Saccharomyces cerevisiae S288C: one gene and its partners. The protein of the gene in region 2 interacts with the protein of the main gene of each other region in a biochemical or structural test. Each region holds a gene or a part of one and is shown on either strand. Other genes may lie near its edges. The genes, in order: RVS167, LAS17, YSC84 and ARP2.

Region 1 (7,754 bases), on a different chromosome or scaffold from region 2:
CTGGCATATTAACAACTTAAGAATTTTTATTCTTTTATTTTATACTGATTAGCATCGCTACAGAATAATTGTCCGTAATTTGTCCTCTTCATGATTTATGTTATATATGTTCCCTTTATGGTTATAAATCTTGAAAGGGGAATGATGTTTATTTGTTATTTATACAGAAGGCAAAGAAAAAGAAAGAAAACCGCCAACAGGTTTTTAAGGGAAATAACGAAAAAAAAAAAAATGAGGAAATTAAAAGGAAAGAAAAATGGTGTTATCAAGCCCTGTTAGCAGAGCCTGAACGGCTTGTTAGTCTTTGAAACCATGATTCCCTCTTGCGTGATCTTGAATTTCTTTCATCCCCATCATCTTCGGTTAATGGTAAAGCATTACTGCGCTCATTATTGCTATGAGTGTTACTTAGTAATTCTAATTGATCAGCGGAATTATCATTACCACTGGTCAGGATCATTGAAATAGGTCTAGTGTTAAAGGACGAATTGGTACTGTTTCCACTCAACGATCTGTTCATTCGAGGAATTGGCAGATAATGCTGTTTGGGCAAAGAACCTGAGTGTACGCTAGATGGAGACTGACCGTATGGATCAACATTTTCTTCTTCATAATCATCACCTTCAGCTTCAGTAGCAGTTAAGTCGCCATTGTCTCCTGTGTCACTCAAAATTCCCGGTTTATGTAACCACGGGAATAAACTCGTTCTTCTTTTATTACTAGCAATAACATCCGGAGGAACCGGAGTAGAACCAAACGATTTTGAGTGTGGTCTTCTTTGCTTCGGAGGCTTTAACATTTTTGAAGTCTGTAGGTCTGATGAGTTCTCCGGTATCGAAGTAGATATTGGCGATAACGTCGTATGGTCTAGTTTATTGTTATTGTCAATCGCCGGTGGGTTTTTATTGGAAGAAACTATTGGTGGCGAATCCGATGAGGTGATCTTTGGTATTTCTATAGGATCAGTTTTCTGTTTATCTCCATTATTTTTCTTATTTTCGGTTGACAACCGTTCCTGTTGTTCCCTTTTAGCCAACTTCAAAAGATGGGGTAATAGCTTGTACGAGTATTCAATCAAAAATTCCACTACTAGTCGGGATAACTCGTATTCTTTGGGGTCCATATCATGTTGAGGATGCGATAATATTGAAGGTTGGAAGATGGCCGCCAAGTTTCTACCAGACATTAGGTTAAACTGTGATTGCCTTGCAAAAAGACTCAGTAAATCGAGTAGGTATATAGTTAGCTGTTTCGTGTCATTTGATAAGGTAACAAAGAGCTCTTCATATTCCTTGATAGCTGCCCTTATATCGCGGGTCAGCCTTCTCTTATGACGTATTTTTCTTCGTCTTTTTTCTTCATCATCTTTAGCGTCCTCCTTTTCGATGTCACCATCATTAGCACCATCATCATTATAGTTCTGTCTACTTGATTTTACTGTTACATTATTTGTTTTATTCGCATTCGGATGAGAAACTTCGTGGGTCAACATATGCCTTAGGATTCTTGGTCTAGATCGTAGCGGGTTTCTGAATTGTTCATATAGGGATAAAGGTATTAGTGGTTCGGCCAAATTATTAAGGTATCTCCTCAGGAGCGATGCAACATCGTGCACTGTATATGTTTCCCAATCGTTGAATTTGGTACCATAATCAGGTGGCGACGAGAATATGTATTGAAGGGCTTTTACTCTTTTACCATTGCCCGCTATACGAAATATACCCGAGGTCTCCAATCCATTTGCTTTTAAGTATGCGCCGCACTTGGCTACCACGATGGGTATCCGACCAAAACTCACCAACTCACTTTGAACAATGACCTCTGCACTGGCGACGCTCAACGATTCTGCTAAAGTAACACCGAAAACCCTACCTGTGAAACCATTTCTATTAGATAAAAACATATCTCTGTAATTTTTGAACTCTGCGTGAGGCGATGTTCCGGAATTAGCGTTGTTATTGTTATTGTTCTGTTTCGCGGATTTGGAAAAGGATTTCCTATCTTTGGTTGGGGTATTATATGAATATGGTCTTGAAGATAATGGAGGCCGTTTTAAAGTAGTTGGTTGAGCATTCCTTGAAAGAGAAGTTGGTGATCTAGGGACTGTAATATTTTCGGATGACATACTCTTAGGGTTGTTTATGAACTGCTTCCAAAAACTTGGGACATGACCTTTAGAGGGAGAAACATTTTCAATTTTGGAGCCTTGTTTAAGAGTATTATTTGGCATTATAAAGATATTTTTAGTTTATCTTAGTGGTATTGAGAGGATGAAAGTAAGACCAAAGCAGGAATCAAATTGGAAGCTCGAAAGCAAACTTGTGAAGGCTAATTTCTCTGCCCCTCTACTTTAGAAAAAAATTGCTGTGAAATGAGAACGGCTTTTTGAACACTGCAATATAACTTTCTGGAGAAAATTTGTTCTGATAACTTTGTGATGCGTGAAAGCTTAAGAGATCAAAAATATGTGGAGTTTTCAAGTCACTAGTGAATAAAACCAGTGGAATGGGTAAAAAAATTTTTTGTAACGGGCCTGCTATTCTAGGAAACCTAACGAAGACTTTATCAATTTGTTTTTCCTCTTCTGAGATCGTCCGATCAAGCCTAACAGTTTCGCGAGTAAAAAGGATGATTTCTTCTAAATTTAGTATTAAAGTAATGAATGCGTACACCCTGCTTGAAGATGTTGTGCAATGTAGCTCAGTTTCTTCCGCGCCAGGCCACTAGTCTTGCTTTTTTCCTGTTTGTCAGCACCGGTTTCCCAACTGGGCTGTGTCATCGACAAGACAGAGATGGTGTTTTATAAAAGAGAAAGGAGACTGAGGAACGTCGTTTTAGGAAGACTAGGCGAGGTGAGCGAGAAAACTGATTTCCCCATATGGTAGGCTTTGTACCATATTGGGAAGGTGGCAGCCCTATTGGGAACGCGCTCCTTCCCTTTTGGGATATTGTCAGTAGGGTAATATGCTCGCCGCATGCCCGTAATAGATAGACTCAAACGATACTTTGTTGGTGGAAGGATGAATTACCCTATATAGTATTTAAATTAAGAAACATTACAATAAAAGAAAAAGGTAATGGTAACATCTCACAATAGAAGGTAATGAATACAGAGGGATGCAGGGGCCTCCTCTAGTTCTTGTTGAGTTGCACGTAGTTCCCAGGAAACACACCTTGCTGGCCATTGTATCTTCCTGTCCACCATTCGTTCACGTCCGGAGTACGCTGGACAATTTCTATAACTGCGCCGGCAGGGAAAGACAAATCACCAGCAGCTTGAGCTTGGTAGTCATACAATGCGGTAACAGTTTCAACGCCAGGAGCTGCCGCTACGGCCGCGGCTGGTGTGCCCGCAACAGGTGATGTTAGAGGATTAGAGTAGGCCGGTGGTGGTCCCTGTTGCTGCTGTGGTGATTGTTGGAAGCCTAGCCCAGTGAGCGGTGGAGATTGCGCAGCAGCATACTGTGGATAAGTACCCGGAACAGCGCCAGCAGCAGCACCAGCAGCAGTACCAACAGCAGCAGCAGTACCAACGGCGGCAGCAGTACCATACTGGGCAGCAGGTTGAGCGGCGTAACTTGGTGCTGCGGCACCATAACCGTATCCTGTAGGGGTTGGAGAAGTGGCAGTTGCTGGATCATACCCAGCACCATATCCGACACCGCTTGATGCGCCACTGACGGGTGAGCCTTCGGCGGTTGCTACACCATACTTCCTTCTGGTCATCTCCAATTTTGCCTTAGAGTAACCGAGTTTAAAGTGTGTAATAGTCAAGGCGTCCGTTTGTTCTTCCACATTGCCTTTCTTGGCAATGTACGACTCTACAATGTCACTGTTCAAATCAAAATATGGAATCTTCATGTCTTGAAGTCTATTATACAAAGTGTAAAAAATGTTCAATTGCATGAAATAAAATGAGACAAATAATGGTTTCACAAATTCAGCTTCCAAACTGAACAGTATTGGTAATTGAGTCTTTAGCAAGTCGTTATAGTAATCATATTCTTGTTGAGCCACTTCCACTTGAGCTTGTGCTTTATACAATCTTTCTTCGTCTTTGGCGGTTGGTTCCTTCTTCTTTTCATGCTTGTTATAAGTGTTTAGATGTCTATCTAAATCTAATTTTTTGTGATTTCTCTTGGTGGCCATTTTACGAATATAAGTAATAATCTTCAACAGTTCCTGGCATGGCGTAACAATTTTTTCTTCCACCAAAGCCAGATCCGGTTTCAATGTTTCCTGTAATTCTGCGACAATTGCCCTATACTGTTCACTTGCTTCAATACCTTGTGGGTTGTCCTCTGGTATGGTAGCGTTAGGGTCACTCATTTTACCACTGATAGGTTTGAAAATTTCCTCCATGGATTTGGCAAATCCAATTTGGTGTGTCAGCATTCCATTCACCGCAGTCGAGTATCTCTTCGATTCCTCACTTAATTTTTTTGTCTCCTGCTCCAATTCTTGAAAACGACGTTCTGCATCCTCGTAAACAGGATCCTCTGTCTGCTCACCCATCTTGAACTTTTGACGGAAGGACTGAGGAGCCCTACTAACAGCCTTGGTAAACCCTTTAAAACTCATGTGCACTTATTGGCTCCTTGATTCTTGGTGTTAAATGACCAGGTGAGCCTCACTTTACTTTATTCCTTAAAACAGGTTGTTAAACATCGACACTACAAAGCCCTCTCCTTTTTTTTTTCCGGTACCAATATTATCGCAACATCCGAACATCGGTCGGATTGATAATTTAGTCAGGTAGACTACCATAGCAACTGGAAGGTATACATAACAAAATTTCCATACGAAAGGAACTTCTTGAACTATATACAACCTTATATGTGCAACTGTAGCGTGCACTTATAGTCCATGGTCAAAAAGTATCTTTTCTCAGTAGAAAACAAAAGCGTACAGGCAAGCGACAGGAAAGTCAAAACTTGATAGAGGTATGTCTACAGATGAAAGTGAAGACGTTTATTCTGATCTGTATTCCATTATCTCCCAGGTAACATCCAATACTGCCAATGACATCGAGCAACTCCCATATGCTTTAACGTTCAAAACGTCGTTAATCTTCGTTGGTGCTACCATTGGTGGGCTTTTATTCGGCTATGATACTGGTGTTATATCAGGTGTTCTGCTTTCTTTAAAGCCCGAAGATCTATCTTTGGTAGTTTTAACGGATGTTCAGAAGGAGCTGATAACTTCCAGTACAAGCGTCGGATCATTTTTTGGCTCTATTCTGGCATTTCCTTTAGCAGATAGGTATGGAAGAAGAATTACTCTCGCAATCTGCTGTTCAATTTTTATCCTAGCTGCAATTGGAATGGCTATAGCAAGAACATTGACGTTTTTGATTTGTGGGAGATTGCTGGTTGGGATCGCTGTTGGAGTGTCTGCCCAGTGCGTCCCTCTATTTCTGAGTGAAATTTCACCTTCCAGAATCAGGGGTTTTATGTTGACATTGAACATTATTGCCATCACTGGAGGTCAATTGGTTTCCTATGTGATTGCGTCCCTTATGAAAGAGATTGATAATTCATGGAGATATTTGTTCGCACTTTCTGCTATTCCAGCTATTCTGTTCCTTTCAATACTGGATTTTATCCCTGAATCGCCACGATGGTCCATTTCCAAGGGAGACATTCTATATACCAGGGATTCTCTAAGAATGCTATATCCTACTGCATCTACATATCATGTGAATAGTAAAATTAAGCAGCTGATAATTGAACTCGATAAGTTACGACTATACGAAGATGCAAGTGAACCTTTACTAGTACAGTCCCAATCGGTTATTCGATACATGGATAGTTCAACCTCAGGAACTCTTAGCCCACCTAACATTAAAAGACTTTCCTCGAACACAGAAAGAACTAGCAACACAATGTCCTCCTCATCAGCATATCTATCGGCGTTGCGAGGCCCAGCTCCAAACGGTGCCCTGGCATCTAACAAAAAGAAAAGACACAGAATGGAGCCACGCACAATAAGAGCGTTAATAGTAGGTTGCATGTTAATGTTTTTCCAGCAAATCACTGGCTTTAATGCTTTTATGTACTATGCGGCAATAATATTTTCCAAATTTAATATAAAAAACCCTCTACTGCCTCCAATTTTGATTGCCTCAACGAACTTCATATTCACTTTTTTCGCCATGTACACCATGGACTCTTTGGGAAGAAGAGCCATTCTTTTGAGAACAATTTTGATTATGACTGTTGGGTTACTTCTTTGCAGTGTAGGTTTCGGTCATGACCAAGTCAATTTACTTTTAATTTCTGTTGTAATTTATGTTGCAGCATATGCTTCTGCGATGGGCAGCGTTCCATGGACCTGTGTGGAATTTCTCCCCTTGAACAGGAGATCATTTGGGGCATCATGTATAGCCTGCACAAATTGGTTGACCAATGCATTTGTTTCAATGACATATCTGAGCACTATTAACACCATTGGTGATGAAAATACAATGCTCATTTTTGCTTTTTTCACAGTTTGTGCCTGGTTTTTCGTATATTTTTGGTATCCAGAAGTCAAAGGTTTGTCACTGGAAGAGGTTGGAAGGGTTTTTGATAATGGAATTGATGTTCATTATGTCTTTCGTACCTACCATTGATGAGTTGTCAAGTGGCATCATAATGCATTGGGGCGGCTTTCAGATATGCTTCTGGTATATTTGTCCGTGAGAAATTAAGGCTTCTTTTCTTATATATGTATATATTAGTTAAAAGAATATCATCACTTTTTTCTTTATAAAACCTTGCAGGGATGACTATATTTCAAATTGCTAAAGTTTACCAAAAGCATCATATATCTTTTCTGAAAGAGATTTAGTAATTTTCTTCGCACCAGGTGCATCTCCCAGTACATTAAACATCAACAATTTAGCCTCTTCTTCCGAGGAGCACGTTTTATATGCCATTAGTATTTTATTCAGGGTAGGAAATATTTCTTGGATGGCTACTGCTTTTTCTAAAGATATACCTTTAACAAGCATTAAAACATGTATAGTTAGCTCACCAACCGTCTTTAGATCGCCTTTTCCCATTAGTTCTTGAAAGCATTCAAGATTATGACAGCATTCAATACCGCCTTTTCGTTCGAATTCTCGACGAAACTGTAGAAGCACCTTTTTATAATCGTCCTTGCTTTTAAGGTCACTTGGAAATATAACTATGAGATCTTTTTGAGAATAGTGATGAGAAATTACAGTATGCAACGCATGTATCTTTTCCACAGTTTCATCCGAATTGCAAGTTCTTATCATGGAGAATTTGTAATACACTAAAATGACCCAAAGCGCGGTCTTTAGGGCCTCATTCATATTTCCAATGTTGCCACTCATAGTCTCCTCAATGAGATAGTATTTGTGTTCACAGCCAGATTTCTCTAACCTATTTTTTTGCTCCATAAACCTGTTATCCCTTATACTTAAAGCTAAATCGTCTAGCCTTTTTCTTTCAACTATGGTGTTGAGCACACACTGCAACCCGGTATTTTTATTCTTGGCAACCCATATAATATCACCCAAAGCGAGTTGCCTTATCTCTGACTTCATACCTTTTCTTTCAAATGCCCTTGAAAAAAACTCACGATCAGATTGTGACTTTATTTCTCTGTGATCAATAATTGGGAAAACTTCGAAATCACCACTACACCACAATTCGTAACTTACTCCGTTGTACCTTCTCCTCTTTATTGTGCTTTTAGCCTTTAATGCGGAATCAGGTACTGTTTGATCATCAGAGACCTCTTCC
Region 2 (8,086 bases):
AAAATAAAAATACATTTTATTTTTTTGATCAACGGGCTAAAACAATTAGACTTCTTTGAGTACGAGGATATCGCTATTTTTATCTCACGGTATCGTATTGTAATTAGAACGTCTCATATCATATCGTATAATTCGGCCTTTATTTCAAGAAAAAGAAGAGAAGTTATTCTTGTGCATGTTCGTAAACTGATTTATTTAAAACTTACATATGACTTGAAAAAGTTTTTCTTTGAACCAAATTACAGGCATATTCCGCTGATATTAAGCGTTTTTCTCAGCAAATTCCTTGATAAAATCTACCAAGTTTTGTACAGCTTTCACTGAAAGCGCGTTATAGATGGAGGCTCTGAACCCACCAACTGAACGATGTCCTTTCAAACCGGTTAAATGACGAGCAGCTGCCTCTTTTAGAAACTGGTCATCAAGGCCGTCCTTTTTAAGGGTGAAAACGACATTCATTTTTGATCTACACTTTGGATCCACTGGAACGTTGTAAAAATCTGAATTTGCATCCAATGCCTCATATAATATCTTGGCCTTTTCTTCATTTTCAGCCTGTTGCGCTTCAACACCACCCTTCTTCAAAATATGTTGGAACACGAGATCCATAACATGTAAAGTGAAAATTGGAATTGTATTATAGGCTGAGTTGTTCTTCACCACCGTTGGATAGTCGAATGCAATAGGGGTGATTGGTACTCCCAATTCATGTAATGTTTCATCAGAAGCGCCAGAAATATTCTTAAGGATGGATTTCTTGATAATGTATAGGGTTAAGCCTGCTAAACCAATGTTTTTTTGGGCGCCTGCCATGATGACACCGTATTGAGAAACGTCAATCTTACGAGACAAAATGTCGCTGGATAAGTCAGCAACAATTTCGATGTTGGGGTCGTTTACTAAACATTTTGGTAATTCTGGCCATTCAACACCATGAACAGTTTCATTCTCACATAGGTACACGTATGAGAAAGCCTTACCTTTGATTTTATCTTCCCAAAGGGATTCATCCGGAATTTTACCAAATTTGCCATTGTTATAATCTTTAGCGTTGAAGATAACTTCAGCAGGAACGTGCAATCTCTTTGCCTCTTCAAAAGATTTCTGAGACCAACTACCGGTGACTAAATAACCGGCAGGTGCAATCTTCCCATGCTTACCCACATATGCAGCTGCCAAATTAGTAGCAACGGAAGAAAAACCAGTAGTGCCACCACCTTGCAAGTAGAACACTTCATGAGTGTCAGGAATATTTAGCAGTTCGATTAAGTGCTTCTTAGAGTCTTCAATCACTTTGGTGGCATCCTTCGAACGGTGAGAAATTTCACCGATACCCAAACCTATGTCATTGAAATTGATTAAGTCTTTAGCAGCTTGTTGCAAAACTGGTGTAGGCATTTGAGCTGGCCCTGCTCCGAAATGTTGTGGTTCCTCTCTTTCCAAAGACATTGTTTCTTATCACTAATGGTTAATCGATGATTGATCAACTAATTAGACCTGTGTTGTTCAATTAAGTAATTTCAAAGGCTCCTTAATGTCTTTGTCTATTTTATGAAGGCACTTATATATATACATACATATAAAACGTATAAAAGAAAAGTAGTCATTAATTCGCGATGCTTAGAAAGAGTCACTACTTTTGGGCGTACAAGGTAAGAATAATTTGAATGGTAAGCTCGTGACCAAATTGTGGCTGCAGTTAAGGTGCCTCGGCCGGTGTCAGGTAAATTAATGCCGTCATCCGGGTTTCCTGTCCTTATTATGGCTTTTCTTTTGGGACCATACATCCGTACATATTGTGGACCCATTTCTTTTTCGCGCAGATGTTTTTTGCGTCTTCTGCTTAGCGGGCAAGGGTGACCGAGTTTCCCATCTATGCTGCATTTTCCTCCAATTAGTTTTGTCCCGTATTCACCATGGTGAAGTAATCTCATCCCAATCTTCAATATTAAGGATGAAGATTCTGAATTAGCACTCCTTCCTCAAGATACTAGATAAACAAATTATACAAAATGGTACGTTAATATTGTGTTAAAATGCTCCACGAAACGCTTTTTTTAGGAAACTTGTCCCCATACAGGAAGAAGGTGTATTAAAAGGGAAAACTACGATCAAAGTAATATTTTGAATAGGAAAGATTGCCCCATGATAATATTAATAATCCATCAAATGCCTGTAGATAATGACTGAAAAATGAAAAGAAAATAAAATATTGTATCATTATTATGTTGAGATGTAAATGTACAAAAAAGGAAGAAAGACGAGAATTTCAAAGGACGATTATTCTCGTTAATATTCACAACATGTTGAATATAGACCTTTCCTAAAAAATTAGCGTCTGCGTTGCAGTAACTCCATAACACAAGTCTGAATATCTCATTACTAACATTAAATGAAAAATTTTTTTTTTTTCAAATTCTCCTTAGGCTAAAGTTCACGGTTCTCTAGCTCGTGCTGGTAAAGTTAAGTCTCAAACTCCAAAGGTTGAAAAAACTGAAAAGCCAAAGAAACCAAAGGGTCGTGCTTACAAGAGATTATTGTACACCAGAAGATTCGTTAACGTTACCTTGGTTAACGGTAAGAGAAGAATGAACCCAGGTCCATCTGTCCAATAGATACTATCTAAAATTCTATACTTTTATTGTTCTACATGTGTAATTAAACAAAAATATTATAATTAGGAAATATTTACCCTTTTTACATGGGTTTTTGATTCGAACTGCTAAAATCTAGGATTTACTATACATCATTTTCTCAAACATTTGAAACGGCCATAGGGATGGCCATCATTGTAGCCCGACTATTACCTTGATCATTCAATCACTGACCGCCTTTGAACCTATATCAAAATTTCCTCCGATTAAAGAAACTATACATAAAAAGAGCAATTACTTTGATCATTAATAGTGAGTACATAAAATTACATATTTTCTATAACAGTAGTTTCATCTTTGTTTGCATTCCATTACCAATCATCACCATTGTCCATATCGTCATGAGCTCCCACTTTAGTTTTTCTTTTGTTTAAAGCTGCTGCCAACGCATCTGCTAAAGAAGCCGGAGGTCCACCAGGTGTGCCTCCATTTCCAGCCGCTGCTGGTGGTGAAGCAGATTCTCCACGTGCTTCCTGCAGTAAAACTGAGGGCTTATCTAGCTGCGATTTGTCAACTTTTCTCAAAGCGCCTATGCCACCTGCCCCTCTAATTGAAGCTAAAAGTGCATCACGACCTGCATCTCCAGTAGTTTCAGCGAATGAACCGCCTCCGGATGTTGATGTAGCTGGCATTTGAGGAGGTGGGGGTGGAGCTGGAGCTCCTCCAGATTGAGGTTGTTGAGTTAGGAATGCTGGTGGCGGAGGTGGTGCAGCACTCGTCGTCGATGGTAACGTTGGCGGAATAGGTGCTGAGGGTGCTGACTGAGGTATCTGCGACTGGCCTAAAGATGCCGGAGGAGGTGGTGGTGCCACTGGCACATTTGTGGCTTGCGAAGGTGCTTGAGTATTCTGAGGAAGGGGAACTGCAGGTTGTCCAGTTGCTGCAGTCATTTGTGGTGTCAGGGTATTGAAAGTTGTCACTGGAGGAGGGGGTGGAGATGACATGTTGCTATTTGTCTGATATCCAAAGGGGCGGTTAGAATTATTGTACTGTTGTGGATTTTGTTGCATCGTAACGTTTGGTGTGGGGCGAGATGCTCTTGGAGGAGGTGGTGGTGCTGGCCCTCTTCTTCCAGTGGCCTGTGGAAGGAGGCTATTTCCACCGGCAGAATTCAGGGTATTACTGGTTACGTGCCTATGTGGTGGAGGCGGTGGTGCTGGCCCACGCCTTGGCGGAGGTGGAGGAGCAGGTAGGCGAACACCTGAACCTTCAGTAGTGGTACGCATTGGCGGAGGAGGTGGCACAGGCCGATTATTTCTGTTAGGCAACTGTGGAAGGGGCCTATTCTGCTGTGGTATGCCCATTGAAGGAGCTTGATTAAACTGCTGCTGAGGTACCGGAAATGGAAATGGGTTTGTTGCAGACTGTGTCGAGGGAATTTCAGGAATTGGGAATGGAAATGGATTGCTTTGGGGTTGCGAAGGCGCGTTATTTTGAGGTGGAGAGTTATGTTGTGGAGGGTCTGGTAATGGCGCAAACTGATTTGGTAAAGGCGGTAAACTATGCTTTGGATGCGTTTCTTCTTTTCTTACTTCAGGAGATGCAGGAGGAAGAGCAGGGGCTGGGGTAGTCGGTGCGGATGCTGTTGTCGAATTGATATCGGAAAATGAACTTGTTTGGTCTGAATCAAATGTTTCGGCCGTTGGCGGAGGAGGGGGAGGAGCCTTATGCTTTGTAGTTGGAATTGTGTCCACATCTTCATAATTATATCTTTTCCTTTGATTGTCAATCAATGACTCCCCTCTTGGGCCGTGCACCACTTGAGATTTTTGTTCTTCTCTTACTTTCTTGGTTAATGCTACAGCATTTTTGTTCAACAAAGTTTTCCTGTTAGCATATCTTTCACGCTTTTGAACTCTCTTTAAAAAGTGCGATGCTTCATTAATATCTACAAACAATAAACCTGCAAAGCATTCTTCCATCTCAAATGTATGAAAAAAAGTACGGTCTTGATAGTATTCAAAATTCACATACAATTCTTGGTCCCAGATAACTCCTCTATGGCCATTGATGTCAACTAATTTCAAAAAAAAAGTATTCCCCACAAGATCGTCTACTAGAGCAAGAGCTCCTGAAAGTCCAGTGTACTGCCATTCATTTTTATCAGGGTATGCAATGTATAGTCGAGCCACCGTAACATCAATAATCTTATTCGACGCTTTTGGTAGAGCCCTTTTGATAATTTCCTTATCTGAAGAGTTTAGGAGTCCCATATTAAATCACGCCTATCAACACTTAAAGTAACGAACTGTAATTTGTAGCGGAGATGGCAATCGCTACAGCACTTCCTTTTCTACTATGTATATTCTACATTCAATATTTATTATTACATATTCATGATTTTTTTTCATAGGTATTGACTGGCCCCTTTTCGGACGTCTCGCACGTATTCAATGATCATATAAACTATTTGGAAAATTCAAAAAAAAACAACTATAAGATCAGTTAAGACTTATATCATAGATCTTTTAAACCAGAGACACAATTTCAAGTACCATGGGCAACTGCTTGCATTGCATTTAGTTTTGCCTTTTTTCTAATTGCAAAAGAAGAGTATTCCAAAACCACTTCTTTGATAAATCGTCCACGTCAGCCGGCGTTACTTGAAACTAAACGCATACTTTATGAAAAAGGGCCATCAACTTGTCTTTTTGTTAACATTCATTTTGAAAATATGAACTTTGGTATAATTGAAAATCTAGCATATCTATATTTTTTGAATATATTTAGGCGATAACTTAAAAAAGCATTGTTTCAGTTCTGAAGTTTGTTGCTTGTTTCTATTCTTTACTGGATGTCTGAAACCCCAAAAAAAAAAAAAAAAAAAGGACTCCACAAGTAGCGGCTGTAAGCGCGCTAAACTCCGACAGTGTATTATATATACGTAAACGATCCTGATAGAAAAATCCAATCCATTACCCCGGGATTATTTTATTACAGAGTAGGATTTTCTGGTGTTAAGTCTAGTGAGTTATCTTCTAACTATGAGCAGTCGTGTGTGCTACCATATTAATGGTCCCTTTTTCATAATCAAATTAATTGATCCAAAACATTTGAACTCTTTAACTTTCGAGGATTTTGTATACATTGCACTATTACTGCATAAGGCAAACGATATTGATTCTGTTTTGTTTACTGTTCTACAAAGCTCAGGCAAGTATTTCTCCTCGGGAGGTAAGTTTTCAGCAGTTAACAAGCTAAACGATGGAGACGTTACAAGCGAAGTGGAGAAAGTCTCAAAGCTGGTATCTGCTATAAGCTCTCCTAACATATTTGTGGCGAACGCATTTGCAATCCATAAAAAGGTTCTGGTGTGCTGTTTGAATGGACCGGCCATCGGACTTAGCGCATCGCTAGTTGCTCTTTGTGACATTGTTTACTCGCAAAACGATTCAGTATTTCTTCTTTTTCCCTTCAGCAATCTCGGTTTTGTCGCAGAAGTGGGAACTTCTGTTACCTTAACTCAAAAACTGGGTATAAATTCTGCAAACGAACATATGATTTTCAGCACACCAGTTCTATTTAAAGAATTGATAGGAACTATTATTACAAAAAATTATCAATTGACAAATACTGAAACATTCAATGAAAAAGTTCTTCAGGACATAAAGCAGAATTTAGAAGGGCTTTATCCGAAAAGTGTACTAGGTATGAAAGAATTGTTACACAGTGAAATGAAACAGAAGCTTATCAAAGCACAAGCAATGGAGACTAACGGAACCTTGCCTTTTTGGGCAAGCGGCGAGCCATTCAAAAGATTTAAACAGCTTCAAGAGGGAAACAGGCGCCACAAGTTATAATAATATAGCATTTAGAGATAGGATTTTAACATAAAAAATCTACTACACGATCATACTTCTGCAATTGTTAAATTCCGGGTTCTTTAATACTTTAATGTTGGCGCACAATATTTTATATCTGTTGTAAAATCCGCTTACAATATAAGTGAAATTGTTCCATTTTGTTTCATAGGAATTCTTACTCAAAAAGGATGTTTTTTAATATTCATATAATATTTACAAATAGCTCTCTGAAAAAAAGGATTTTTTTTTACACCTAATAAAACTGTCATTCATGTTAAGTAACTAAAGTGCTTCACAACTGTACTTAATGAACTGAATCAATTTCCTTGGCAATGCAAATTCTTCCAGACAAGAGGCGGCCGCGGCGGTATCTCTAGAAAATTTGGCAGCCGCACAAAAGGGTCCTACTGATGACGGGCTGGCAAACGGCGCTCTCCAAGGCACAAACTTTGTGACAAAATAGAATCCAGCGGCAGAGATCCGGATAAAAATGGGGGAGTGGACTTTCAAAAGCCGTACACCTCTTGTACTGAGGACAAATAATACAAGTTAAACTTGAATATTTAGATATGAGACAAAATGCTAACGCACATTCTCACTCCTAAATACTTAATTTCGAAGTCTGCGTTCCAAGATATGTAAGCCATCCATTCATACGGGATTGATGGAAAAGTCAGTAAATTTACAATACCCCTTTTATTCTGTTTGATGTGACAACTACTCGAAATCTGCGTAGTAATAAATATAACCAAAGGGAGTTCTAAAGAAGAAAAAAGGAACTCCCCAAAATAGGTCAACGATTACGAAAATTTTTATATGTTTGTTGGAAGTATTCGAGGAATGAAAAGAAAAATGGGTAGCAAACTGGGAATAACTGAAATAGAACCAAACGTCATCTTTTTAGAAAGAAAGGCATTCTTAGAATCATGATATGCCGTCCTTCGACCATATTGTGACCTAAGCTTTTTCTTCGACAATTGATACTGCATAATCGAAGGAGGATAAAAAAGTTGTTACGATAGTATTCCTTGAATGCACTTGGACTATATATACATGTTTATATTAGACGCATCTTTGACATTTTGCTTGCGCTAACCTTGCAGGTAAGGAGAGCAAAGGGAAAATGCATCGAAAAAAAAAAAATCGTGCTATTTTCGCTAATAACTATGCAAAATCAAGTGAAATGGTGTTTCTCGAAAAAGGTCACAAGCGCAACTTTATTTTCATGGTATATTCAGAATTTATTTTAATGATCGAAAAAAATTGGCCTAGCAAAGTAATCATTCAATAGTTTAAAGGCGGTTGCGGAGGATAGTGACAGAAAGAACTTCAGAAAAAGGTCCCTAGCCTAAAAGGAGCCATCACTATTAATGAACTCTATGAAGTTTCTGCTAAGAGAAAAGAATTTAGCCGATGTTTTGTTCAACTGCGACGCTTAGGGAAGAAAACATCGAAATATCGCAAGTTGTGTAACCCAGGCCACTCAAAGTCGAGTCTTTAAAAGTAGTGGTTTTATGCATATGTGCTGTTGTTGTTTTCCGAGAGGGATGCATATGAAATCTAGCCGAAAAGGCGATATCGTAGTATACAATGATTATGTATTTTTTTTGATTTTAATTTTTAGATAAC
Region 3 (7,565 bases), on a different chromosome or scaffold from region 2:
AGTATACACAGCGGGCTTGCAGAAGTTGGGTCTTCTAACGGAGACAGAATTGGCAAAGATCCATGAAGGTTTGGCTGAAATCAAAAAAGAATGGGACGCTGACAAATTTGTCCGTCATCCAAACGACGAGGATATCCATACTGCGAATGAAAGACGTCTTGGTGAACTAATTGGCCGCGATATTGCTGGTAAAGTCCACACCGGTAGATCCCGTAATGATCAAGTTGTTACCGATTTGAGAATATACTGTCGTGACATTGTCAATGACACCCTCTTTCCAGCTTTAAAGGGCTTGGTTGAAGTTCTAATTAAGAGGGCCGAAGGTGAGATAGATGTCTTAATGCCAGGCTACACACATTTACAAAGGGCACAACCTATTAGATGGTCTCATTGGTTGAGCTCTTATGCAACATACTTCACCGAAGATTACAAGAGACTGGGTCAAATACTACACAGATTGAATCAATCACCACTGGGTGCAGGCGCTCTTGCTGGTCATCCTTACGGCATTGATAGAGAATTTTTGGCTGAAGGTTTGGGTTTCAATAGTGTAATTGGTAACTCCTTGGTTGCTGTTTCTGATAGAGATTTCATCGTGGAGTTGATGTTTTGGGGAACTTTGTTCATGAACCATATTTCTCGTTTTGCTGAAGATTTGATTATATATTGTACAGCAGAATTTGGTTTCATACAGTTGAGCGACGCCTATTCAACAGGTTCTTCTTTAATGCCTCAGAAGAAGAATGCAGACTCGTTAGAGTTGTTAAGAGGTAAATCCGGTAGAGTATTTGGTGATCTGACAGGATTCTTGATGAGTTTGAAGGGTATCCCATCTACTTATGATAAAGACATGCAAGAAGACAAAGAGCCACTATTCGATTGCTTAACAACTGTAGAGCACTCCATGCTGATTGCCACAGGTGTTATTTCTACCTTAACTGTAAATAAGGAAAAGATGGAAGCTGCTCTCACGATGGATATGCTAGCTACCGACTTGGCAGATTACTTGGTCAGAAAGGGTGTTCCATTCAGAGAGACTCATCACATATCTGGTGAGTGTGTCGCTACTGCTGAAAGACTTGGTCTAAGCGGTATTGATAAATTAACCTTGGAGCAGTATCAAAAGATCGATTCGAGATTCGGACAAGATCTTTTTGAAACTTTTAACTTTGAACAAAGCGTTGAAAGACGAGATGCTACTGGTGGAACCGCTAAATCTGCTGTATTGAAGCAATTGGATAATTTGAAATCCCAATTAAATTAGCAGATGGCGACGTTATGCGCAAGAATTTCATCAGGTCTGGTACTTCTAGGACTTCATCAACCCTTCTTTAAATACTTATTTTGTTATTAGTATTATATTTTCGAGATTGTGCTATGTATATATATACGTAGATAAGCAATTGTTATCTAATCAAGGATATTATTTGGATGATTTAGAAGATGACCGGCAAAAAAACGAAATAATGCTGCTATATACCTTGGCTAATCTTCCTCTCAAGCGTTTCAGGGAAAGACGTGTGTGATGGTTGAATATAAGTGAAGCAAATGGCCATGAGACTAAATAACTAAAACGGCCGCAATAATACACACTATTGTAACCTCCCAAAGTCGTTAACCAACTTAGCAGTTGTCTTAGTTTATACCCATTCGCACTCATTATCATTTTGTAAACTGGATAATGTAGGGCCTCGTGAATGTCTGAACCGGCCATTCTCAAAAATTTATAGTTCGATGGTTGTGACCCAATCTGCAGGATTCCAAGCTTGATTGTGGAAACATTTAACCTTTGATATTCCTTGAAAATTTTAAATAGTGAGTCGATTATTCCAGACGTTATAATTTCTGTACTATGATGGACTAAGTTCAGGTCCGCAGTCAAAGATGGATTGAACATAATTAGTTGGGTTTTTCTCTTCAAATGGGGTATAATGCTTAATAATGCTTGATAATACACAAATATACTTGAATGAATTTCAGATTCCAATGAGTCACATGAAATTACTCCGGATGGATGATATGATAACCTTGGCATAAACAATATGGATGCTAGCCTTGGTACATCAACAAAAAAACCCTCGAAGTCTTTTTCGCAGGTGGGATCAATGTAATATATGAAATCCTGATCTTCTTCGTGCTTCTTATAGACGTCTGCATTTTCAGTACAAATATATACTGTAAACCGTCTGCGATATAAATCCATCACTTGATTCCTTATGATAGGATCATTCATATCGCCCAGTATTAATACCACTTGAGATTCTGCTTCAGGTAAATTAGGTGGCAGTTTAAAAAAGGTCCTATACCCAAGGTATAAGCACAGGGAGGTGGCAGAAATTCCCAAGCCTAGCTTCCAATGATCCTGGAGCCCGATCCTCAAAGTTTTATATACTTTAGATCTGTTACTGTCGTTTTCCTGTAGTCGAGGAGTCTCCTTGTTGGATATCTTTCCAGATATGGATTCAATTGATTTTTCGACGTGGTTCTTGATCTCATCGCTCAAGACAGCGCTTTTCGAGACGAGCCAATACCCAGCATCAAATATCTGATCCACTATATCCTTACCACCAGACCAAGCCATTTTTATTTGTTTTTTTGAGAGCAAATATCTTCTGTTGTCTGTTTTATATTTCCTGTTTGTATGCCACCTACAACATTTTTACATGTTCCGACGCTGACCGAAAACGACCTGAAGGGAATTAAAGTTGACTACCCCCTAACTAGACCCTGTTCTTAACATTATCTATAACATGAAACTATCTTACACTTCACAGTAAAATTTTCAAGAGTAGTGGTAATATCAAATCCAAAATCCAAAAATGGGTATCAATAATCCAATTCCTCGAAGCTTGAAAAGCGAGACCAAGTATGTTCATATATATGCTTCCTGCTGCCCCTCCTCTAAACTTATGGATGCAGCTAAAATGTTCAAGATAGCTCTCTAGTCTGTGTCCATTGCTTATGGGGCATGAGTTTTCAAAAGTAATGTACTAACAACTTTATGATTGATTTATTTCGAATGTTTTAACTACAGGAAGGCCGCGAAAGTTCTAAGGAGTTTTGTTAAACCAAATCAAGTATTTGGAGCAGACCAAGTTATTCCACCATATGTGCTAAAAAGAGCTAAAGGTCTAGCAATTATCACGGTTTTAAAGGCTGGCTTCTTGTTTTCAGGGAGAGCAGGTTCTGGGGTGATTGTGGCCAGGTTAAAAGACGGTACATGGTCGGCTCCCTCTGCTATCGCTATGGCAGGTGCTGGTGCAGGTGGTATGGTCGGCGTTGAATTGACAGATTTTGTTTTTATTTTAAATTCGGAAGAGGCAGTGAGGTCCTTTTCTGAATTTGGTACAATTACTTTAGGTGGTAATGTGTCAGTTTCCGCAGGTCCTCTTGGAAGAAGTGCAGAAGCTGCAGCTTCTGCATCCACAGGTGGTGTCTCGGCAGTTTTTGCCTATTCCAAAAGCAAAGGTTTATTTGCCGGTGTGTCTGTGGAAGGTTCAGCCATCTTGGAGAGAAGGGAAGCTAATCGAAAGTTTTACGGCGATAACTGTACATCAAAGATGATTTTGTCAGGTAGAGTAAAAGTTCCACCAGCAGCAGACCCCCTACTCCGTATCTTGGAATCAAGAGCGTTCAACTTTACACGCCACGACCATGATGACAACGCTAGCGGTGATGATTTTTATGATGACGGTCAATACAGCGACAACACAAGCCATTATTACGACGATATTCCAGATTCCTTTGATTCTACTGATGAATCCTCAACACGTCCAAACACAAGATCATCAAGAAGAAGAGGAATGTCGCTGGGGTCACGCAGTCGTTATGATGATGATTATGATGATGATGGTTACGGACGTGGTCGCGGGTATGGAGATTTTGATAGCGAAGATGAAGATTATGATTACGGAAGATCTCCAAATAGAAACAGCAGCCGCAATAGAGGCCCACAGATAGATAGGGGTACTAAGCCGCGTGCGAATACCCGATGGGAAGATGATTTGTATGATAGAGATACTGAATACTCCCGTCCCAACCATTCCGGTAGGGATTATGATAATACCCGAGGAAATAGGCGTGGTTATGGTAGAGAAAGGGGTTATAGCCTTGGTCATGGCCCAACTCACCCCAGCAATATGAGCAATGTCGATGATTTATCACATAAAATGTCGAAGACAGGGTTAGGTAATGAATCCACTGCTACAAATTCGGCGACACCAACGGCTGTTGCTCTCTACAATTTTGCTGGAGAACAACCAGGCGACTTGGCTTTCAAAAAAGGTGATGTTATTACTATCTTAAAAAAATCAGATTCTCAAAATGATTGGTGGACAGGCAGGACTAACGGAAAAGAAGGAATATTCCCTGCAAACTACGTTAGAGTTTCTTAAATTATCGTCCTCCATATGTCTCGTTCCTATATATAGAATTTTTTTTTAGAGTTATGAAGTTGAGGATGGGTTCCTTATTCAGCTATGTTTACGAAATGTTTGTAGTTATATAATCACAATGGAAAGCTTCGAGGAACCACTTCTTAAGTACTCACTTAGTAGGTGGAGTATTTCTTGAAACTGGACTATACGCCATTAAACTAAAAAAAAATCGAGGCTGAAACTCCTTGGAATAATTCTGGGTAGATTAAGATAGCAAAGAAAACAATACTCTATTTTTATAGACATACGTACTTTTGTACCGAAAATTGCATATTGATGAACCTGCCTTCTTCCTTTAAAAGGAATCAAACTGTAAATCCGAGGCTTTCAGCAGCTCTAGTGACTTGTTTTTGTAGAATTTTCTGTGATTCTAATGAAGTATTTGTCATTAATAAAAAGTGCGATAGCCTTTCTGAGTCATGCTCCCAAAATACGTCAAAAATAAACTCGGAAATGCTGCGCAGATTTTCTTCTTTATTTAAACCAGAAATACTTATACGTTGTAAATTTCTGTTTATAATTTTTTTTAAGGACTCAAGTATTTCTGCATTCTCCTGTTTAGTTCTCTTAGGCTGATGCAGTTTTTCGTCAACAGTATTTGTAATTAAATTAAATGCTGGATGAGGTTTCATCGGCGTAGCTACGAGAGAGTTCATGTTTGTGTAGGAATTTGAATATGATGAGAATGGGGAAACTACTTGTTGAAACTGTGACGTTAATCCCTTTTGATGAGCTGATAACTCTTGTGTGCGGAAACGCATCATGGAACTAATGTTGATTAATTTCTTATAATTTTCATTGTTGTTACCATCGTCATAGTCTATCTCATTTAGTATATTATCATTATTCTTTGACCATGATGCCTCAACCAAACTACTTCCAATTAGTCTCCTATCCAAAATATTAAATAATCTCTCAGCATCACTACGAGAAAAACACTCAACATGTCCACAAAATGTCCAATTTAATGAGTTATAGTTTGTGATCTTAATTTCACTGAATCTTATTTTTTCTTGTAAACATAGTTGAGAAATAAACTCCTTATTGCAATTGAAGCTTAAATTTTTTAGATAAACCTTTGTTTTCTTGTTCGTTCCAATTTGATTATGAACAGGCTTATCTTTACCAGGACCAACCCAAATGGTATGGTTTTTAAAAATTGTTTTATTCAAACATTTCTGTGCCTTTTTAGATTCTTCTTCATTTTTATATGTGACGAACGCTTTATGTGGTGTGTTCGCCTGCTTTTCAGAGATGAATACAGATTTTATGGGGCCAATAGTGCTGAAGTAATCCAAGACCTCTTCTTGTGTTGTGTCAGATGGTAAATTTTTGACTAATATTGTTTTCGAACGAGCATTATCTGATAAATTATTGCTAGCCAATAGTTCGTCTTCGATAACTATGTCGGAGCCAATCATTTTTTTTCTTTTTGTAAATTCAGGTCTAGTTCTTACTTCTTTGTCAAAATGCAATCCACATATAATTTTATTTCCAAAAAATTCTTGGTTATTGTATTTTTTGATTACATTTCTAGCAGAAATATCGTTATCGAAATAAACGAACCCAATGTTTTTTCTTCTTTCTAGAAGACATGACAGTACATTTCCGTACTCGATCATTATTAGATAAAATGATCTTGTGGTCAGTTGGGGATTTTCCAGTGGTAAGTTAGAGAAAAAAACATTTGTTCCGATGTTTTTTCTAAATAATGTATTTTTCATAGATGGCATTATTTTAACTTCTTGACCAAAAAAAACCGTATAATTAAATTCTTTCCTTGCAGATTCTGCATCGTTTTTATCCTTGAAATTCAAATAGCCATAACCCAATGATTTTTTGGTGAGAAAATCACGACACACTTTAGCAGATTCAAAAGATTGATACCTTTTGAATATCTTCCTTAGCATTTCTTCAGTGACAGTTGATTTCAGATTTCCTATAAACAAACTATTTGTCTTTGAAGTTTTCGTGATATATTTTTGCACGCTTCCCTTTGCAACAGTTTTTTCAAATACTTGCTCTTGTTCTTTCTTTTCTTGAGTTGCATTTTTACAATCGTATTTTTTGAGGCTATTCTTTTCTTTGACTTCAGCATCCTTTAATTTCACATCACCGAGCTTATATCCAGCTCCTTGCACGCGTACTAGTGCTTGGGCTGATATCGTTTTGAAGCTTTTCTGCCTTGCATCTTTATCATTTGGGCAACTTTTAGAAATCGATCTGGGATTTTGCTTGCTATTTAAAGAGATATTATTCAATACATTACCATGAGAGTTTGGCATCTTTTTTTAGGGAATTTTTCGTATTTCTGCTTTTATTGACTTGGATAATTCATTATGTTAAGTAAGCTCTAATTGCTAAAAATGCCATAAAAAGAAAACTTATTGGAAAAGGACCGCCATTTCGAACGGAATTTGTGACACAAGTTCATTTTAGCAAAAAAAGGTCCTACCCGGATTCGAACCGGGGTTGTCCGGATCAAAACCGAAAGTGATAACCACTACACTATAGGACCGGAACTTACTGGTCGATCTGAAAATCATGATCGAATACGTCATCCTTGCATTACCCAAAATCAATCAATTTTTAATGAAATACATCAAATTTTGATTGTTGTTATGAAACTTCAAAATATCATCCGTTTATTAGTACTCACGCTACTAGTTTATTGTCAAATAAGTTGTAAGAAGATGGCATAAACATTGAGAAACAGTCATCAATTCTAATGAAAGCAGAAATGCAAGGATTGACAATGTAATAGGGTAATGAAAAATATAGAACGGAAGGAGAAATAATCATAATAACCTTATGTCGAAATACAGATTCTGAGAATTAGGTGAATTTTGAGATAATTGTTGGGATTCCATTTTTGATAAAGGCTATTATATTAGGTATACACAATATACTAGAAGTTCTCCTCGAGGATTTAGGAATCCTCAAAATGGAATCTATATTTCTACAACCTAATATTACGATTATTCCTCATTCCGTTTTATATGTTTCATTATCTTATTACATTATCAATCCTTGCACTTCAGCTTCCTCTAACTTCGATGACAGCTTCTCATAACTTATTTCATCATCTAACACCGTATATGATAATATATTGATAGTATAATTATTGGT
Region 4 (7,499 bases), on a different chromosome or scaffold from region 2:
TGTTTCTGCAAGAACTGGATGATCTCAAAACAAACATGTCAACAAACTCATTCCATGATTATGTGGATTTAAAATCGAGAACTAATACACGACAGTTTTCAGATGACGAAGAGTTCACTACGCCTCCAAAACTAAGCAATTTCGGATCAGCTTTACTTTCCCACACAGAAAAAACTTCAGCATCAGAGATATTATCAAGTCATAATAATGACAAGATCGCAAATCGATTAGAAGAAATGGACAGGAGTTCATCAAGGAGTCACCCCCCACCGTCAATGGGCAATTTGACATCCGGTCATACTAGTACCTCATCGCATTCAACCTTGTTCGGACGATATCTGAGAAATAATCACCAGACTAGCATGACGACGATGAACACTAGTGACATAGAGATAAATGTTGGAAATAGTCTTGATAAGAGTTTTGAAAGGATAAGGAATTTGCGACAAAATATGAAAGAAGATATTACGGCAAAGTATGCTGAAAGGAGAAGTAAGAGATTTTTAATATCCAATAGGACAACGAAGCTGGGTCCTGCAAAGAGAGCGATGACTTTGACAAATATCTTTGATGAGGATGTGCCTAACTCTCCAAACCAGCCAATAAATGCAAGGGAGACAGTGGAATTACCACTTGAGGATTCTCACCAAACAAACTTTAAAGAAACGAAGAGAAATACGGATTATGATTCAATTGATTTTGGAGATTTGAATCCTATCCAGTATATTAAAAAACATAATCTTCCCACAAGTGACCTTCCACTAATATCTCAAATCTACTTTGATAAACAAAGAGAAGAAAATAGACAAGCAGCACTCCGAAAACATAGTTCCAGAGAATTGCTTTATAAAAGTAGGTCTTCTTCCTCTTCACTTTCTAGTAACAACTTATTGGCAAACAAGGACAATTCTATAACATCCAATAATGGTTCTCAACCCAGGCGAAAAGTTTCTACTGGATCATCTTCATCTAAGTCATCGATCGAAATAAGAAGAGCTCTCAAGGAGAATATTGATACTAGCAATAACAGCAATTTCAACAGCCCAATTCATAAAATTTATAAAGGAATTTCCAGAAATAAAGATTCCGACTCCGAAAAAAGAGAAGTACTGCGAAACATAAGCATAAATGCAAATCACGCTGATAATCTCCTTCAACAAGAGAATAAGAGACTAAAACGATCATTGGATGATGCAATAACGAATGAGAATATAAACAGTAAAAATCTAGAAGTATTTTACCATCGACCTGCTCCCAAACCTCCAGTCACCAAGAAAGTTGAAATTGTTGAACCTGCAAAGTCCGCTTCTTTATCGAATAATAGAAATATAATTACAGTAAATGACTCCCAGTACGAAAAAATAGAACTTTTGGGTAGAGGTGGATCCTCCAGAGTTTACAAGGTGAAAGGATCTGGCAATAGGGTATACGCGCTCAAAAGGGTGTCTTTTGACGCTTTTGACGATTCAAGTATTGATGGATTCAAAGGAGAAATAGAACTTCTGGAAAAATTGAAAGACCAAAAGCGTGTAATCCAACTACTAGATTATGAAATGGGGGATGGTTTATTGTATTTGATAATGGAATGTGGTGATCATGATTTGTCACAAATCCTTAACCAAAGAAGCGGCATGCCACTGGATTTTAATTTTGTTAGATTCTATACAAAGGAAATGTTGCTGTGCATTAAAGTAGTTCATGATGCGGGCATAGTTCATTCGGATTTAAAACCTGCAAATTTTGTTTTAGTGAAAGGTATCTTAAAAATCATTGATTTTGGTATAGCAAACGCGGTACCGGAACATACGGTGAATATATATCGTGAAACTCAAATTGGGACTCCAAATTATATGGCACCAGAAGCACTAGTTGCTATGAATTACACACAAAATAGTGAGAACCAACATGAGGGAAACAAGTGGAAAGTGGGGAGACCATCTGATATGTGGTCATGCGGTTGTATTATATATCAGATGATTTACGGGAAACCCCCATATGGCAGTTTCCAAGGCCAAAATAGGCTGTTGGCTATTATGAATCCTGATGTGAAAATCCCATTTCCTGAACATACTAGCAATAATGAAAAGATTCCAAAGTCTGCCATTGAATTAATGAAAGCATGTCTGTACAGGAACCCAGACAAAAGATGGACTGTGGATAAAGTCCTGAGTAGCACTTTCCTTCAACCTTTTATGATATCCGGATCGATTATGGAAGACCTTATTAGGAATGCCGTTAGATATGGCTCTGAGAAGCCTCATATATCACAAGATGATCTCAATGATGTGGTAGACACTGTTTTAAGGAAATTTGCAGATTACAAAATTTAGAAGAGCCGCATAAGGAAGAAAAGCATGTGCCAGTTATGAACATAAATACATTTAGAGTTTGCCATGCATGTACTGATTTATTTACTTTGATCAACTCTTTTTTACATATTTATATATATTCATTTAAATAAATCATCAATCAATTTTTCGACACAGACACTGAATACTTGAAATACCAAGAAAAGGATAACTATCCTCTAACGGCGCTCAGTGAAATATTATATTTTGATTGCTTGTTCAACAATTGTGCCTTATTAACTTATTACATTTATATATAAGTTTATATTATTCCATTTCCATTTTTCATTCGTAGATTTAAACTTTTTTATTAATTCTTTTGGATCAATAAAGTTCAAATCTATCTTGGACCAAATTTAGTCATTGCAGATGGCCCGCTTTCTTGCCATTCTTGCTTAGACAACCACATGTGGTCTTTATCAGCCATGATACTAGCTAAAACGGCACCACCAATGAAAACCATATGCTTTCTCCTTGGAGGATCTTCAATTCTAACTTTGAATTTATCAAGTCTTGAAGGGTCATTGTGTAAAACTCTACTAAACCATAATTGTTTCAATTCTTTCTCTAATCTCGAAGGCAGCCCTGGGTACATACTTGAACCACCTGAAAGAACAATGGCCTTATACAGGGAACTTCTGATATCAACATCAGCCGATTGCACAGTATTAAATAACAGCTCGCCCACGCCAGGTTGTTCAACGTCAACCAAACCAGGTTGGAACAAACATTCTGGTGCTTCAAATCTCTCTTGTCCCACTTTGATTGTCCTGCCATCTGGTAACTCATACGATTCCACAAGGGCGGTTGTTTCTCTAGCCAATTTTGTATCTAGGTCTAAATCATATGAAACATAACATAATTTTTCCTTTATCTGACGCACAGTTTCGAAATCTGCAGTTCTGTTAAATGCATAACCACGACGAGAAAGCAGATCAATCAAATGCCTAGTAACGTCTCTACCCGCAACATCTAATCTTCTTGTTAAGTGGCTCAAAACGACAGATTCGTAAACTGGGACTATATGAGTAACACCGTCACCGGAATCGACGACGACTCCTGAAGACAAACCTTGTGCGTACAATGCTAGAACAGCTTGGATGGCAACATAAACTCCGCCAAAATCGTATTTTTCGAACATTACCTCACACATTTTTTCCCTATTTTTCAGCGGATTCATTGGAGGTTCCGTTAGTAAAATCTTACCGTTGGAGGTGGATGGTAGTTTCATTTGCTCGAAAAAGGCGTAATCCCAAAGAAGTTCCATATCTGTCCAATTCTTAATAATACCGTTTTCCATAGGATAAGATATTTGCAGATAAGAGCGAACTTCACTTGCCTCATCACCAATCATAATGTCCTTTAATGGTGTAGCAACGCTGGCACGTTCTTCCGCCCTCAAGATGGGTCTACCAACAATAGAAGGAAACGTGTAATCTGGGAAATTCTCGCCAGCACGACCAATTTTGACGAAACCAGTACCCTGATCAAGGACTATATCGAGATGGTTAGTATTAATAATATAGGGGTAAAAGAACTAAAATGCAAAAGAGGCAAAGCCAAAAGGGGCACCGAGCTCAATTGCCTCCACAAACACTAAAAATATCAACAACATACCAATTGGATTATGTGGGTCCATTATTATTATATAGTTTTGTTAGTTTATTACTGTGATTTGTCTTCTGGTACGTATATTTAACTTTCACGTCCGTTTTCTTCCATTATATGGGTCCTCAAATTGTTTTTCGCCTTTCAATTCTACAAGACGGGTAATAAGGTCATTACTAAGAATAGTATAAATACATACAACTGCTATCTATCAAACAAATATACATATCACAGAGAGATTTCACACCAAACCTTGCTTCTTAAGTTCATCGTAGACCTTCTTACTCATTACATTTCCTTCTTCGTCTTCTTCTTCTAGTTCTAATTCTGTAGGAACTTTTAGTTGTGAAGGATTAGGCTTTGGGGGAACTGCTGCAATAGATGTCAACTGTGACTGCCCCTGCATATTTTTCCAGAGCTCTTGTGCCTCCTTAATTTTGGTTATGCCCTTGAATACTGAAGAAGGTTCGATACCAAGGCATCGCAAGTGATAAATATGTCTTTCTTCGTTGAAATGTCTTTCAAAAGTGCGTCGCCCATTATAAACTTTATTCGAACAAATTTCGCAGCGATACTCTCTGTCAAGCCCATGCAGTTTGTATAGCCAGTATGGCATAGGCAATCCATCCGGACCCAATGGCATGTCAAACGATTTACCAGAGAGGTGCTCTTCTTGCAGTTGACCATCTCTCTGCTCACCATCCACTTGTTCGGCCCCCTCTTTTTCCGTCGAATCATATGCAGGTGCTTCATACTTCTGTGTTAAGATATCCATTTCTGCCATTCTTTCATTTGCAGTAAATGCCAGTTTTCTTTCAACAAAACTTCTCGTTCGAGAAAATTCATCATTTAAATATTTCAAATACCGATGCAGTTTATATTCAGAGTACACAAAATTTCTTCTTTTAGATTCATTTTTCTTATGAATTTTCCCTACTAAATGGCTTTCGAAAACGGAAGATGTCTTGAACCACCTCGAACAAAAAGGGCAATAGATACCTTTTGCCTCGGACCGAAGAGATCCCCTACAGTATGAATGTTCGAAGTCAGATTTGATTAGATTTTCAACTGCCGCAGCGTCAAGCAAAGCATAACTTTTGAAGAAAAAAGTTTCTACATATTTGCTCAACTTTAGCAAAAAGGCCATGTATCTATCATTCTTGCGATCCATCGGTGGGGTTAGCAAATATTTCTCGTCGTCCAAAAATAATTCTAGGATGTCGAGAAATTGAAGCAGTGAACAATCGCCCCGTTTAATTACATTCAACCATAAAGAATGAAATTGTTCCAGCTCCATATATTCACCATATTGCTCATCTCTAGTAAATATTTCATTTAAGTCTAGGTCTCGAGCTCTGTCAGACAATATATTTGTGCGCCTCGATGGATCAGAAGAAGATGAGAATAAAGCGTATTTGTCTTTTTTAGAGTTGATATCCAATTCAAAGTTCTCATCTTCATTTTTCAGTTCCTTCTCTAGCTGTTGTAGTTTTCTTTCGAAATTAGGCAAATCCTTGTCATCCTCCTGTGTCTCTTCTGGACGATTGATTTTATTAAAAGTTTGTTGTTTCTCTTGGTAGTCTCGAAGAAAAATATTTATCTCATGTTGCTGCAAAATTATCTGTTTTCTCTTCCTCTTAACCTTTTTAAACTTGTATATTTTATTCTCTGCAATCAACGATGATCTAGGCAGTTTAGTATCAGGAAACACCTTGCTCGATTCTTGTATATAGTGGTAATATAACTCTGGATTCCGCTGAATTCTTTCTGCTATGGCATTTTCAATAATCTCCATCTCCTCCAACAAGGACCTCCTTGTTTCAAGTAAATTCATTGAGATGATGCCCTCCTACTCCTATTAAAGCAAAATTAAATGAATGTATACACCCTCGCTTGGCTCACCGAAGGTTCTTGATCTACCGTATAACTAAGTACTTTTTATTGCACTTCGTCAGCCGATACTTAACACTTCTTTGTTGCCTCATCGGAAAGTTAGAATAAAATGCGCTACAAAAAAAATATTGAACATGACTTACATCGACAAAATACTGAAATCACAAAGAACTACAAAGAATTATGAAGAACGGACTCGCTATCTATTTTTGTTTTCTTGCTATGGTACATATGTAAACTATATATCTGTAGATCTAGATGGTTTTAAACTATCTAAAATTTACGCTTTTTGGAAGGACGAGCATTCTTCGCACGTTTTTTCTCTGCTATAATCCTGTCCTTTCTAATTTGCTCAGTGGACTTCAATTCGCTTCGCAGACCCGGAGCGTTATTATATCCCTTGACGGAAATTCCACTTTGTAGAGCCTTTTCCACCTTCTTCTTTTGCGAATAATAATTGTCTCTGTGTTTATCTGGCATTTTAGGCGCTTTCATTTGTTTATGCTTGAATTTCCCACGGACGGTTCTACCATTTGCAGCAGGACCTTGTGAAGGGTCTTCGAGCAAGTTAGATGGTATGCTTGTTTCTCTCGAACCTACCTTCAATGGTTTCAAATTTCTTGCCTTCGACCAATCATCAAATCTACCAGACCTGAAGCTTGCCGCGATTTTTTGGCCACTTTCACCAATAATATATTTCTTGTTATCAATACCTTGAGTATTAACATATTTTTTTCTTTTTTTATCCCATTTTACGGTCGCTGTTTGCTTATGAACTTGCACTTTATCATCGCTATTTAAATCGTAAGCCGCTTGAGCAGCATCATTAGCGAACCCATTGGTTATCTGTAATTGTTTATCTTGTATGTCACCAGCTGGCGCATAGTGACTTAAAAAGAAAGTTGGATCCTTAAAAGACTTCGGTTTCTTTTTCTTTTTGTTTTCGTTTTCCTGTGCTTCTAATAATTGGTCCGCATCTTCAAATTCTTTTAAGGCATCCTCTGACACGGTGTAACCTGTCTCACCATCGTCACCTTTCAAAATTTCATCTTCGATAGAATGTGAAAGACCAGCCATTCTTTCCTTTTCTAATAGTTCCCTTCTTTCAGTCGCCTTTCGTTGAATTGGCGCTAATTGCTTTCTTCTCCTTTTCATAAACACTGCCATTTCATCGTCTGGGTTTCTGGTGAACTCAAATACCGTTTCCTTGTTTCTTCTGTTTTGCAATTTAGCCAAAAAATCCAATTTTTCCTTCTCTTCATTTTTACCAAAAAATGCATTTTGAGCATCCCAGCCAGAAGAAATGATCTCTTTACTTCTCTTTAAAGATTCAGGGGAGGCGGAAGTGCGTGTTCTGTAGTAAAGTTTTTCTGCCTTCATGGCTGTTTTCTTCGCCAACTGAAGGTCAAAATTAGAGGACATCAGATTCTTATAAAGATCACCTAAGCCTTCAACATCCAGTCTTGGACATGAACCTAGAACGAGTCTTTTTGTGTAAGAAAGCTTTGGGGGTTGAAATTGATATTCCGGTTTTCCTTCATCTATCCACCTTTTCTTCATCACGTCGACTAGACTATCGTACATTGGTGTTAGAAGAATTTTTTTCCCCAAAAATAGCTCCAAATCTAATAGGTAAGGTAATTCATTTTC

What was found.
Region 1: the proteins of LAS17 (region 2) and RVS167 interact in a test that uses a peptide from one of them, tested with the Saccharomyces cerevisiae proteins (4 studies listed by BioGRID, with this or other methods).
Region 3: the proteins of LAS17 (region 2) and YSC84 interact in a test that uses a peptide from one of them, tested with the Saccharomyces cerevisiae proteins (4 studies listed by BioGRID, with this or other methods).
Region 4: the proteins of LAS17 (region 2) and ARP2 form a complex in vitro, tested with the Saccharomyces cerevisiae proteins (4 studies listed by BioGRID, with this or other methods).

What each region holds. Positions count from the first base shown.
Region 1 is NC_001136.10:1,247,013-1,254,766, reverse strand, and holds RVS167 (amphiphysin), read right to left. Parts: upstream 4,582-7,754; coding exon 3,133-4,581; downstream 1-3,132. Other genes in the region: GTPase-activating protein SAC7, read right to left, coding at 266-2,230; CIN10 (Cin10p), read left to right, coding at 4,946-6,613; MUS81 (Mus81p), read right to left, coding at 6,785-7,754. UniProt on the Saccharomyces cerevisiae protein: Component of a cytoskeletal structure that is required for the formation of endocytic vesicles at the plasma membrane level.
Region 2 is NC_001147.6:672,720-680,805, reverse strand, and holds LAS17 (actin-binding protein LAS17), read right to left. Parts: upstream 4,868-8,086; coding exon 2,966-4,867; downstream 1-2,965. Other genes in the region: SER1 (O-phospho-L-serine:2-oxoglutarate transaminase), read right to left, coding at 262-1,449; FYV12 (Fyv12p), read right to left, coding at 1,545-1,934; 40S ribosomal protein eS30 RPS30B, read left to right, coding at 2,013-2,015, 2,427-2,615; putative dodecenoyl-CoA isomerase DCI1, read left to right, coding at 5,639-6,454.
Region 3 is NC_001140.6:133,710-141,274, reverse strand, and holds YSC84 (Ysc84p), read left to right. Parts: upstream 1-2,819; coding exon 2,820-2,866; intron 2,867-3,034; coding exon 3,035-4,394; downstream 4,395-7,565. Other genes in the region: argininosuccinate lyase ARG4, read left to right, coding at 1-1,264; YSC83 (Ysc83p), read right to left, coding at 1,424-2,581; MIP6 (Mip6p), read right to left, coding at 4,742-6,721. UniProt on the Saccharomyces cerevisiae protein: Essential for the organization of the actin cytoskeleton, fluid phase endocytosis and vesicle trafficking, together with LSB5.
Region 4 is NC_001136.10:395,828-403,326, reverse strand, and holds ARP2 (actin-related protein 2), read right to left. Parts: upstream 3,988-7,499; coding exon 3,966-3,987; intron 3,843-3,965; coding exon 2,689-3,842; downstream 1-2,688. Other genes in the region: serine/threonine/tyrosine protein kinase MPS1, read left to right, coding at 36-2,330; SF3a splicing factor complex subunit PRP9, read right to left, coding at 4,198-5,790; ATP-dependent RNA helicase DBP10, read right to left, coding at 6,123-7,499. UniProt on the Saccharomyces cerevisiae protein: Functions as ATP-binding component of the Arp2/3 complex which is involved in regulation of actin polymerization and together with an activating nucleation-promoting factor (NPF) mediates the formation of branched actin networks.